Oryctolagus cuniculus: one gene and its partners. The protein of the gene in region 1 interacts with the protein of each later gene in a pairwise test. Links are inferred from orthologs where the notes say so. Each region holds a gene or a part of one and is shown in the gene's direction. Other genes may lie near its edges.

Region 1 (4,186 bases):
GAGGACAAAAGGCCCTCAGGGTGTGTGCAGGGTGCAGCCTGTGTGCCTGGCATGGCGGGGCAGAGAAGCAGGAGGAGGCGTGAGCTGCCCCAGGGCTGCCCCGCTGAACGTGGTCCCTGGCCCGGTTTGTGCCTGAGAAGTGGCACACGCACCTTGTCCAGCAGAGGGGCGGCAGCAGGTGAGCTGGCTTCCGACACCAGCAGCCGGGCTCCCTGGGCTACCAGTGCTTTCCCTTCCCTCCCATGCCTGGCCCCGGAGAGCCCAGCAAAGCAGCAGGAGAGGAAAGGGAGATGGTTCCCGGACAACGCCTGGTGCCCCCACCATTCTGAGACCCTGCTCTCCCAGAGCCCGCTGCCCGGGAGCCTGCGCGCCGCGCCGGGACTTGCAATGGTCCAGGCTTCTACACAGTCAGTGCACTCTCTCCCGACACGGCGATGGGAGGTTGGCGGCTTGCCATGCCCCCATCAGTGCTCACTACTCCAGGGTCAGTGCTGTCTCCCCGGAGCCCGCCCACCCCTCTGGCGCCTGTTTCTCTGTGGCTTGTAACTTGCTAAGGCCCTGCTGTTATACCAAACCCGTGTGTTGGCTGATTTATAATCCACACCACCCAGTTTAGTGTGGATGAAGTTCCTGGGACCGTCCTTTCTCCTTAATGATGTGCCTGCGGGCAGGGACACCATCTTATTTTGTATCACCCCAAGAATTGCAATGCATAGTTAAAAAAATAAGAAGCTGACCCTCCTGACCAATCGGGGACAAGTGACCGCCACAGGCACCTGGGTGGCCTGGTGGGCTGTCTTCAGTTCCCTGGGCAGCTCCAGCGCCCAGCGATGAATGAATGAACGAATGAGTAAATAAATTAATGAATGAGTGAACGAAGGACGTCAACAGGGAGTTTCCCGCTGCCCTGGCCGCTGCGGGAGAGCCTCCGGCGGGTCGTCAAAGGCAGCAGCCCACGCAGCCCGGGCTTCTGTGCCGCGGGATCTTCCCTGCCGGCGGCCGGTGCGCAGTAGTGCGCCCCGCGCCTAGCTCCCCTGCCCCGCAGTGGTACGCGCCACTCCGCGCTCCCGGGGCGGGTCGACGCGAGGCGTCTTGAATGGAAGGCGCCGAGGCCGGAAGCGGAAGGGACCACTCGGCAGGACGAGAGGGGGGACACGAAAGCGCCGCCTCTTCATTGAGGAACCGAAGCAGTGAACATGGAGTTCCATGTGCGTCTTATGTAAAAAGAGCGACGGGCGCCGCCACCAATGAACGCGCGGCACCCGCAGGTCCGGCCCCCCCGGTATGCAGATGAGGCGCAGCCGCGACCAATGGCGCGCCGGGGGGCGGGCGCGGCGCGCGCGGTCACGTTTTCCACTATGTGACAGCGGCGGGTCGGGGCGGCGGCGGCGGCGCCGCGGGCTACGCGCTGGTCTCGGCGGCGGCGGCGGCGGGCGCGGGCCGGGCGAGCGCGCGGACTGGCCGGCGGAGGGTCCGGCGACGGCTGGGCGGTGAGTGGCGCGGCGCCCGGGCGGGCGGCGGGTGCGCGGGCAGCCGGCGGCCGCCGCTCGCCTCTTACGTAACCGCCCCGGGCCGGGCGGGCGGGGTCCGGCGCTGCGCTCTGGTGTGAAGGGCCGGCCCGAGCCCTTCACGGCCGGACGGACGGCGGCCTTGGGACGGTTGTGTGCGGGAGACCTCGGGCCTGCTGCGGGCGCCCCTTCCCGCCGCGCAGAGCCAGCTTTGCGGATCGGGAGAGTGAGGCGCCGGGAAGCCCGACGGCCGGGCTGCGGTCTCGGAGCGACGGGGTGGGTGAGGACCACGCCGGCCTGCTGCCTCGTCCAGCGTCAGGCCCCGCAGCCGTGGGGGGCCCGGGGGGCCAGTCCTGGGCTGGAAAGGCACCCCAGGTGGGCGCTGCTCTGGGAGCTCTACCTCGACCCCCGCCCGGCGCCCTGGAGGGGGCGAGCCGAGGTGCCAGAGGGTCGCCGGGCCGGGCCCGTAGGACCCCCGCCCGGCGCCCTGGAGGGGGCGAGCCGAGGTCCCAGAGGGTCGCCGAGCCGGGCCGGGCCCGGAGGACCCCCGCTCGGCCACCTTGTGTGCATTCCTTTTCCTGGGTGGGTTGGGGGCTCCGGGAGGGGGGGGCGGTCTGGCCGAGCCGCAGACGTGGATCGCGGGGGGCAGGGGCCGTCCCCGCTTCGGGAAGCCCGGGGAGAGGATGACGGCTCTGTTGCCAGGGTTTCGGCGGCTACACAGAAGGAACCGGTTTGGAAGGCTGATTCATCCTCAACCGCGGAGTCACCAGGCACCCTGGAGCCGGTACAGGGGAGCCCCTCGGCTTGACAGAGACAGGCTCAGGCTCAGCTGCGGCCTGCGGGCATCTCTCAGGACAGGGTCCCCGCGGGGCCTGAGTGGGCGGGGCTGGGAGCCCTAGGTGTTACCCAGGGGCAGGGGCCGCTCCCCATGTCTGGCGCACTTCTGTGTGACCCCCTTGCTCAGAGGGGGGACCCCCACCCTGGACCTGCAGCTGAGGTTCCTGGTCCCAGGCTGGGTTTGGCTAGGAGGGGACAGGACACTACCTGACGGCTTCCCCTGGGAGCCGGGAGTCAGCCTGCAGGTCGTGTAAAACCCTGGAGACAGGGCTCCCCGCTGCAGAGGAGCTGTGTGATGTGCCGGCACAGGGCCCACACCGTGGGTGTCGGCAGGCACTTGTCACCGTCGTCTCGGTGTGATCACTGGGGCAGAGCTCGCACAGGCCCGGCTCTCTGTGGAGGCTGGAGTGGGAGGCGGGAAGCCAGCCCGGGCCGGGCTGCACGGCTTGGCCCCGGCCGGGCCTTGGTCCCTCAGCTGTGTGGAGGGGCCCAGGCGGGGCGTGCACAGGTCTGCTCAGTTGCCAAGCTGGGGGTCCCTGAGACGCCGCAGAGGAGAGCAGGCCGTCCCTCGGCGAGGCCTGGCCGCTGCTGGGGCACATTACCTTCCTGGAGGCGTGCTGCGGTCTGAATGGTGACACGGCTTCCCCAGGCCTCAGCAGGGCACAGGGCTCCAGAAGGTCCCGGCGCGGCCACCTGGAGAAGAGTAAGGCCCCCATGTTGAAAAACTGGCTTGAACACGGGACCGTGGCTTGGCAGGTGTCTGGCGCCCGCCCCTATGGAATCTGCCCATCTGCCAACCCAGGGAGGACCGGGGCCGGGGCCTCTGCCGGGCCCTGGCCCTGAGCCCGTGTGCTTTCCCCCGCGCTGCAACTCTGTGTTCATTCTGTGCCTGTTCGGTACAAGTTGTGGGGCGGGCATTTGGCGCCGTGGTTAGTTAGGAGGTCCGTGGGGATGCGGCATCCTGGCTCTGAGTCCCGGAGAGCAAGTCCTGGCTCCACGTCTGCTCCGGCTTCCTGCTAGTGTGCAGCGGGTGGCGGGTCCCTGCCATCCACCTGGGAGCCCTGGCCTCGGTCCGGCCCAGCCCTGGCTGTTGAGGGCACTTGGAGAGGGGAACAGCAGACGGAAGATCTCGGTCTCTGCCTTTCAAGAAAATTGAAAATTTCTACTCTAAAGTTGCGACTGTGTCCCTAAGTCTGGAGCGGAGTAGGAGCAGCCGTGGCGGGAGACAGGTTGTCGGAGGCTGGTGGCTCCCCGGCACCGGGGGCTGTGTCATGCCCCCTCCAAGGGTTCCTGTGCTCCTCCCGAGAGTGACAGAGACCAGGATGCGCTCTGGGAGCCACTCCAGGCAGGAGCCAGGGCCTCGGCTTCCTAGAATCCGCCCACCCCAGAGCGGCGCAGCGGAGCCCCGCAGCGGGGAAGCTGCCGCCACTTGAGCGCACTTGTGAATCTGCGCCTCCTCTCCCTCGCCTCCCGCGCCTCCCTCGCCTCCTGCGCCTCCCTCGTCGCGCCGGCCTCCTGCTCACATTTTCCTGTGACCCGGCGGCCGTCGCCATGGAGAGCGTGGCTGTTTATTCAGCAGGGCAAACATTCTGTAGATTACCCAGGCCTCAGGGAGCTGGCTCCCACCAGGAAGTAGCAAGCCTGTTACAATACGTGGGGTTGTAAAATACCGCCGCACTCGCAGGCACCAAGACAGGCTTCTGAGCCCTGTTACATAAAGCTGTGAAAGAGGCAGAACTAGCCGGGCTGGTGGGGCCCTGGGGTGGGCAGGTTGGGGGCGGGCAGCGCCCTCCTGCAGATCTGGGTGTCGCTCACGCGGGCGTGCTCGGCTCACTGGCACA
Region 2 (3,518 bases), on another chromosome or scaffold:
GGCTGGAGTCCCAGGGCGCGAACGACCGTGTGCTGTGGCTCAGAGGCCAGCCCCGTGCTGCTGTCCCATAGTCCAGGGTCCGGGCATCAGGTGGCCACCCGCCTTGTTCCGGCATTGTCTGTCCCTCATTGCAGCCGGGCACAAACGGCCGTCACCGTGGCTTTGCTGGTGTTGTCTGCCCTGACAGCGTGTGGGCGGGCGGGCATGTCCAGCCCAGTGAGGCTTTCTTCTCCGCAGGGGTAGCACCTGGCTGTGTCTGGCAGCCGTGGGTGTAGAGCCTCACCTGATGGTGTTAGCAGTGGGGGCAAGGCCTGGCTCATGACAGGCGTCTTAGCCTGGGGTGCACGGAGGGTGTTTGAAGTAGCAGCGAAGGTCTGATTGGGAGTGCGTCCCCCGTCAGCGCCCACTGCCAGACAGCTTCCTGCCAGTGCAAACCCTGAGCCGCAGCAGCTCCGGTGCTCGGGAGACCCAGCTGGATTGAGTTCTGGGTTCCTGGCCCAGCCCTGGCTTTTGGGACCATTCGGCAAATGAATTATTGGAAAGGTTTCTTTTCTGTCCTTCTTCCTTTCAAATAAATAAATAAATTAGAAAAAAAAAGACTGTTTGTTTGGGAGGCAGAGTGTACAGAGGGAGAAAGAAAGATCTGCCACCTGCTGGTTCACCCAACAAATGGCTGCAGTGGCCAGGGTTGGGCCAGCTGAAACCAGGGCCTGGAGCTCGTGTCTGGGTCTCCCGGAGCCCAGGTCCTGCCGGTTTCCGCTGATCTCGGCGTATCACCAAAGAGCCGGATCCGATGTGGAGCAGTGAAGCCTCGAACCCGTCATGATGGTGTTGCAAGCGACAGCCTAACCCATCGCGTCCCCACACCCAGTCCTTAATCAGAAGTGTACAGGGGCTGGCACCGTGGCGTAGCCTTTGCCTGCAGTGCCGCATCCCCTGTGAGCCGCAGTTCGAAACCCGGCTGCTCTACCAGTCGAGCTCCCTGCTAAAGCACCTGGGAAAGCGTCGGAAGGAGGTGCAGATGTCTGGGGCTCTGTACCTACATAGGAGACCCAGACTTCTGGCTTCGGATTGGCCCGGCTTTGGGCATTGGCAGCCATTTGGGATGTCAACCAGCAGATAGGAGATACCTCTCTCTGTGCCTCTCCCTCTCTGTAACTTTCAAAGTAAATGAATCTTAAAAAAAAAAAAAAAAGAAAAAGAAACAAAAGCACGAGTTGGGGTTGTGGGGCGCAAGCCTGGCTGCTGTACTGGCCCCACTACAGCGTGGCCTCCCCCGGTCAGGAGTCTGGGCGCTGGGTGGGTCCCTCAGTGACCCAGTGCTGTTGCCTCTGCCCCACCCCTCCCCAGGTGCTGCCACACTGAGCCCATGCCACGCCTTAGGTGGTTTCCTACTCTGACTTCCTCCACATACAAGCGTTTGGGTGTGCGGGGGAGCCTGGGAGGTGGTGACGCTGAGGCAGCCCTGAGCCGCCGCCCAGGAAAGCACACAGCAGTGCGAATTGGTTTTTTCCGGTGGTTGTGGGTCGGGGGGCTAAAGTGTCTGACCACCATGGGCGCAGCTCTTGTCCAGCAGGCGGCCTTGTTTCCAGCAGCCTGGGTCAGCGCTGGGCTCACCTCTTCCTCTTCCTGTTCTTGAGGGTGCCAGCCGGGCTGCCGACGACGCTGAGCGGGAACGCCGGGACCGAGAAGAGCGGCTGAGACACTCCCGGAACCCAGCCACCCGTGGCCTGCCTTCCACAGCCTCTGGCCGCCTGCGGGGAACCCAAGAAGTGGCTCCCCCAACGCCCCTCACCCCTACCTCACACACGGGTGAGTGCCCGTCGGCGAGCACAGGGCTCCCTTCTGTCCAGTGTCTCTTGGGTCTGGGCTGGCGCTCTGGCCTCCCACGCGTGGCTGGTGCTGTCGGACCTCTTGCTTTGGTCGGTTCTTACTCCAAAGAACAAGTGGGATGTCTCTCCCAATGCCCAGATTTCTCTCCCATGCACCTTGTAGGGCCGAGTTCCCCGGGCCCCAGGTGCTGTGGCGTCATGAGGCCCCGGTGTGCCCTCCATGCTGAGCTCTAGCCATTGGGGGCTCTCCCCTGCCAGCGGCCCCTCTGTCCATGGAGCTTCCTCCAGTGAACCCCCGTGCGGGAGCCAGGCCCCAGCACAGGCCGTGGGTAGGCCAGCTCACCCTGGGTCTCTGCCCGCCCCCCCAGCCAACACCTCTCCACGGCCTGTCTCTGGCATGGAACGAGAGCGGAAAGTGAGTATGCGGCTGCACCGCGGGGCGCCAGTCAACATCTCCTCGTCCGACCTCACGGGCCGGCAAGATACCTCTCGCATGTCCACCTCACAGGTGAGTGCCGGTCCACGCTCCACCTGAGCCCCGCCAGGGCTGGTCTCGCGCGCTCCAGGGTGAGAGTGGGGTGGGATATCGCGTTCCCTCCCTCCCTCCCTTCTGCCCTTTCCCGTGTGTGGGGGTCCTCAGCAGGGGACCCGTGTTCCTGGTGAGTGAGTGGCGTCTTGTTGAGCGCTCAGATAACGTGTGCCGTCTCTAACAAGGGCTTGGTTTCCAGCCATGGCTGCACCTGTGGCGGCTGCTACTGCGCCTGCGTGTGAGCAGCTTCCCCGTGCACCCCTGCCCGCTCCTCGTCCGGGAGGGACGGCACCGGGGGCAGGTGCTGCCGAGGAGCCCGAGCCCCACCCTGTCCCTGGGCCTGCAGTGACCCCGCAGGCACGGCCCCGGTGCTCTTCACGGCCTCTGACGAGAAGAGTGCCAGAGAAAGCGGCTGCGAGCGGTGAGGGCAGGGCAGCACGCGAGTCCTGGGCAGCCGGGGCCAGCGGGGGCCCTGCTCTCCTGACCGTTTTCCTCCCGACATCTCCCTTCTCACTCTTGCTCTGCGTGGTTCTGTGGTGCAGCCGGCAGAACACTGCACCCGGCGTGGTCGCCCAGAGGGCTGGGCTTGGGCTGAGGATGAGCGTCGGAGGCGTCTGTTCCGCTGTGCAGCCCACCCTGGGCTCAGGGCTGCGTGGGGGTGTGGGGCGCGCAGGGGCCTGGAGCCCGCCTCAGCCCTGTGCCCCAGCTCTGAAGGAAATGAGTAGTTTCGTTGGACATCGTGACCCTGCCGAATCATGGGCTGTGTCTGTGCTTTCTGCTGCGTCCCACTAGGGCCGGGACGCTGGGCAGCTCCTGCAGGGCACACACAGGCCTGGGGGCTTCCTTCCCAGCGGGCGGCTGCGGCTGTGAGCAGGCCCAGGAGGTGTCATCCAGCTGCACCTGCGGGGCTGGTTCTGCCCAACCCGTGAAGCAGGAATGAGGCTGCGATTGGACTGGGGCCTCTTGGAGGCAGCAGCTGTGCTGCCCTGACTTCTTCAATAAAGCGTCTGGTGTTTGGGATCGGGAGGGGAGCGAGCTTGGGGCGGCCCAGCCGTTCTCGGCCCACATCCTCGGTGTCACCGGAGGTTGTCTCCCCGGCAAGCCTGTGGCTTGGGATCATGCTCTGTGCGCTCCTGGCTTGTTTCCATGTGGGGAAG
Region 3 (3,518 bases), on another chromosome or scaffold:
AACTAATTGGTTACTGTTACTTCTGAAGGTATTTGAAGAATTATTGCTTGATGCAGATTGGAGCATAAATGCTGGAAGTTGGATGTGGCTATCTTGTAGTTCCTTTTTCCAACAGTTTTTTCACTGCTATTGCCCTGTTGGTTTTGGTAGGAGAACAGATCCCAATGGAGACTATATCAGGTAAATCAAGGGTTATTACTCAGTTTGGAATAGCTAATCCAGAAGAGATTTTCATGTTTAAGCAACACTTTAAGTATTCCCCTCTCAAGATGGGCAGCAGAAATAAGGAGAAGGGTAAACAAATCATTTAAATGGTATTGATTTGATTTTGGTCACTGATAGCTGGTAGTTTCTTACAGTTTGCTCATAGTACATTTTATTAATTTTTCTTCCTTTTCCCAAAAGGCGTTATTTGCCTGTTCTGAGAGGCTTCCCTGCAAAATATATCTATGATCCCTGGAATGCACCAGAAGGTATTCAAAAGGTAGCCAAATGTTTGATAGGAATTAATTATCCTAAACCAATGGTGAACCATGCTGAGGCAAGCCGTTTGAATATTGAAAGGATGAAACAGATCTATCAGCAGCTTTCACGATACCGAGGTCTAGGTATGTTGATAGTTGCCTTTGATTTGTTGTTTGGGCAGCTGTTTCTGTATTTACTCTTGATTTTGATCTTGATCATAATTTGATAGGATTTTTTTTTTTTCCTGTTCAGGTCTTCTTGCATCAGTACCTTCTAATCCTAATGGGAATGGAGGCCTCATGGGATATTCTCCTGGAGAAAATATTCCAGGTTGTAGCAGCAGTGGAAGTAAGTGAAAAAGAAATTATTGTACTTCATCACATAAATAGATTACCTATAACAATCTGTCTTTAAAGTTAATATAATAGGTCTATACCCATGCACACACACATATCACCTCACTCTGTTGGTGACATTTTAGAAATGGAAAACATTACATGTAGTAAATACTTAGATCAAGTTAAAGATCTTGCAAACTGGATGTGGACAATGATTTTAAGGGTAAAATGAAATTCGCAACTCTTATTTTCAGAATGTTCATTATTTTTTATTCTCTTTGGGTGTGTACCAGCTATAAGGTAATTAGTGAAGGTCAGTGACCCTGTAAAAATCGTCAAGAGATGTATCATTCATGCACAGAGCATCTAGTCCTTTTATATATGGGGTTTTTTTTCTTACAAAGTCTGGTCTGTGATAGTTTTCTGTATGATATATATTTAGTACCAACTAAATCCTTTAAAAAAAAGTTATTATTTTAAACACAGAGTGACAGACAGGGAGGGAGGTAGGAAGGGACAGAGATACAGATTTTCCATCCATTGATTCTCTCCCCAAATGGCCTGTGGGCCAGACCAAAGCCAGGAGCCTAGGACTCCATCCAGGGCTCCAATGTAGGTCCCAGGAGCTCATGTACTTGGGCCACCATCCACTGCTTCCCAGGTACATTAGCAGGGAGCTGGATTGGAAGCATAGTAGTAGGGATTCAAACCTGTGCTTCAGTATAGGATGGCAACATCGCAGTTGGCCATTTAACCTGCTGTACCTCAACACTGGCCCCATCGCGTAAATTCTTAATATATGTGACATTAATAATGTTAAATTGGTATGTATTGGAAATTTGAATCATTATGTCAGGAACTTCTTTCGGGTCTCCCAAGTAGGTGCAGGGGCCCAAGCACTTCGGCCATTTTGTGCTGCTTTCCCATGTGCACTAACAGGGAGTGGGATTGGAAGTGGAGCAGCCAGGACTTGAACGGGTGCCCATATAGGATGCCAACACTGCAAGTGGTAGCCTAAGTTGTTATGCCACAGCAATGCCCCACAAAATTTGTTTTTGAAGTTTTCACTGTAAGTTTCCCTTCTTATATGTTCTTGGTAGTTTGTAATTTAACTTTTCTAGTTACTCTGAAGACATGACTATGAGGACTTGTGATTTTTGTGACTAAACAAGCTAACTGATCAATAGGTCTCTGTTCTTTGCTCACTATCTCTTATACCATTATTGACATGAAAATAAAATCTACATTTTATGGGAAAGTTATAGACTATAGTGGTATTCATGAATTCACGAAGTCAGAAGACCTTAAGGCCTTCCTATCATATAGCCCTATAAAGAAAGAAATATCTTAAAGAAATTCCGAATATATTTATTAAGCTTATTAATTTCCCCTTCTTCTCATAGGTATTTACCCTCTTGATTCATAGTACAATAATTTTTGTCTATGTTGTTAACTTTATAGGAATGGAATCATCTAGTTTGTATTCTTTTTTGTGTCTGCTGCTTTCATTCAACATTTTGTTCTTGAAGTTACTCACATTTACCTTAGTACTAGAAGAAGGAATAGAATTGATGACCTTACTTTTCTCTGAAGAGAGGATAGAACTTCCACTTCACTTATGATCTTGTCTAAATACTGATGGAGTTTGTAGATTCAAAAGGCTTCTGTGGCCTAGGCAGCTCATGTGAAGAGCCTTGGGTGATCACTGACATAATAACAAGAGTGTTAATTGTTAAATTAACAACAAGAGTCACTATGCACTAACTTCCCATGCAGGTTTTTTGTTTTTGTTTTTATTTTACTGTGCAAATTGTTGAACTCTTTACTTACTATAGAGTTGGTCTTCTGTTGATAAAGTTAATTGAAAATGGATCTTAGTGGAGAATGGGACTGGGAATGAGAGAGGGAGGAGGAGGAGGGGTAGAACAGTGGGTGGGAGGGTGGGTATGCTGGGAAGAATCACTATATTCCTAAAGTTGTACTTAAGAAATGCATGAAGTCCATATTCCTTAAACAAAAGGTTTCTTTGGGGGGAAAATAAATAAAAAGAATGGGTTACCTTGAGAAAATAAAACTAAAGGTGACTAGTTTATTGCTTGTCTGAAGGGCCATCTTTATGAATCTCCCAATAAAACTGACCAATCTTTTCTCAGAGTCCCTATTGTATTCTGTACTAAAATCCATCCAAACACCTAATATCACTTTTATACTAAGTGATTTGGTGTAGTTGTCTCCTCAGATTCAGCTATGAATCCCTTGAAGGCAGATCCCATATCTTAGTTATATTTGTATCCCTAGTACCTGATATAATCCCTGGCATTCACAGGCATTTAGCACATGTGTTAAATATAAATGAAATGAGGAAAGTGTAAATAAATATAATTTAATATATATTTGTTTGTTGCTGCGCTGGATTCATTCTGAGAGGAGGCGCATGGTGGTGGCAAGAGGCGCGGAGTCACCACACAGACCCCAGGAGTCGGGTGAAAGCAGGCCAGAGGAGAGCAGCCCGCAGACTCGTTTATTTCAGTTGGTACAGCGGCTTAAATAGCCAAGGTAGCCAATCCGATCAAGGGGTGGTTTATGCCCTAACCAATCACAGCCTGTTGCCAGGCAGTATCCGAAGCCATCCAATCACAGCCTGTTGCCAGGCAGGCTCTTTTGCCATGTGGTTTCCAAAGCTATCCAATCACAGCCTGTTGCTGGGCAGGCTCC

What was found. The genes of interacting proteins can lie anywhere in the genome.
Region 2: the proteins of PER2 (region 1) and CSNK1D interact in binary tests that used the Homo sapiens proteins (3 or more experiments, as listed by UniProt). The link is inferred for Oryctolagus cuniculus from reciprocal best matches to the Homo sapiens genes PER2 and CSNK1D.
Region 3: the proteins of PER2 (region 1) and CRY1 interact in a two-hybrid assay, tested with the Homo sapiens proteins (5 studies listed by BioGRID, with this or other methods). The link is inferred for Oryctolagus cuniculus from reciprocal best matches to the Homo sapiens genes PER2 and CRY1.

The regions. Positions count from the first base shown.
Region 1 is NC_091434.1:2,124,066-2,128,251, forward strand, and holds the start of PER2 (period circadian protein homolog 2), read left to right. Parts: upstream 1-1,371; 5' UTR 1,372-1,490; intron 1,491-4,186. UniProt on the Homo sapiens protein: Transcriptional repressor which forms a core component of the circadian clock.
Region 2 is NC_091448.1:767,830-771,347, forward strand, and holds part of CSNK1D (casein kinase I), read left to right. Parts: intron 1-1,640; coding exon 1,641-1,812; intron 1,813-2,200; coding exon 2,201-2,340; intron 2,341-3,518. UniProt on the Homo sapiens protein: Essential serine/threonine-protein kinase that regulates diverse cellular growth and survival processes including Wnt signaling, DNA repair and circadian rhythms. It can phosphorylate a large number of proteins.
Region 3 is NC_091442.1:109,554,775-109,558,292, reverse strand, and holds part of CRY1 (cryptochrome-1), read left to right. Parts: intron 1-28; coding exon 29-180; intron 181-405; coding exon 406-608; intron 609-717; coding exon 718-813; intron 814-3,518.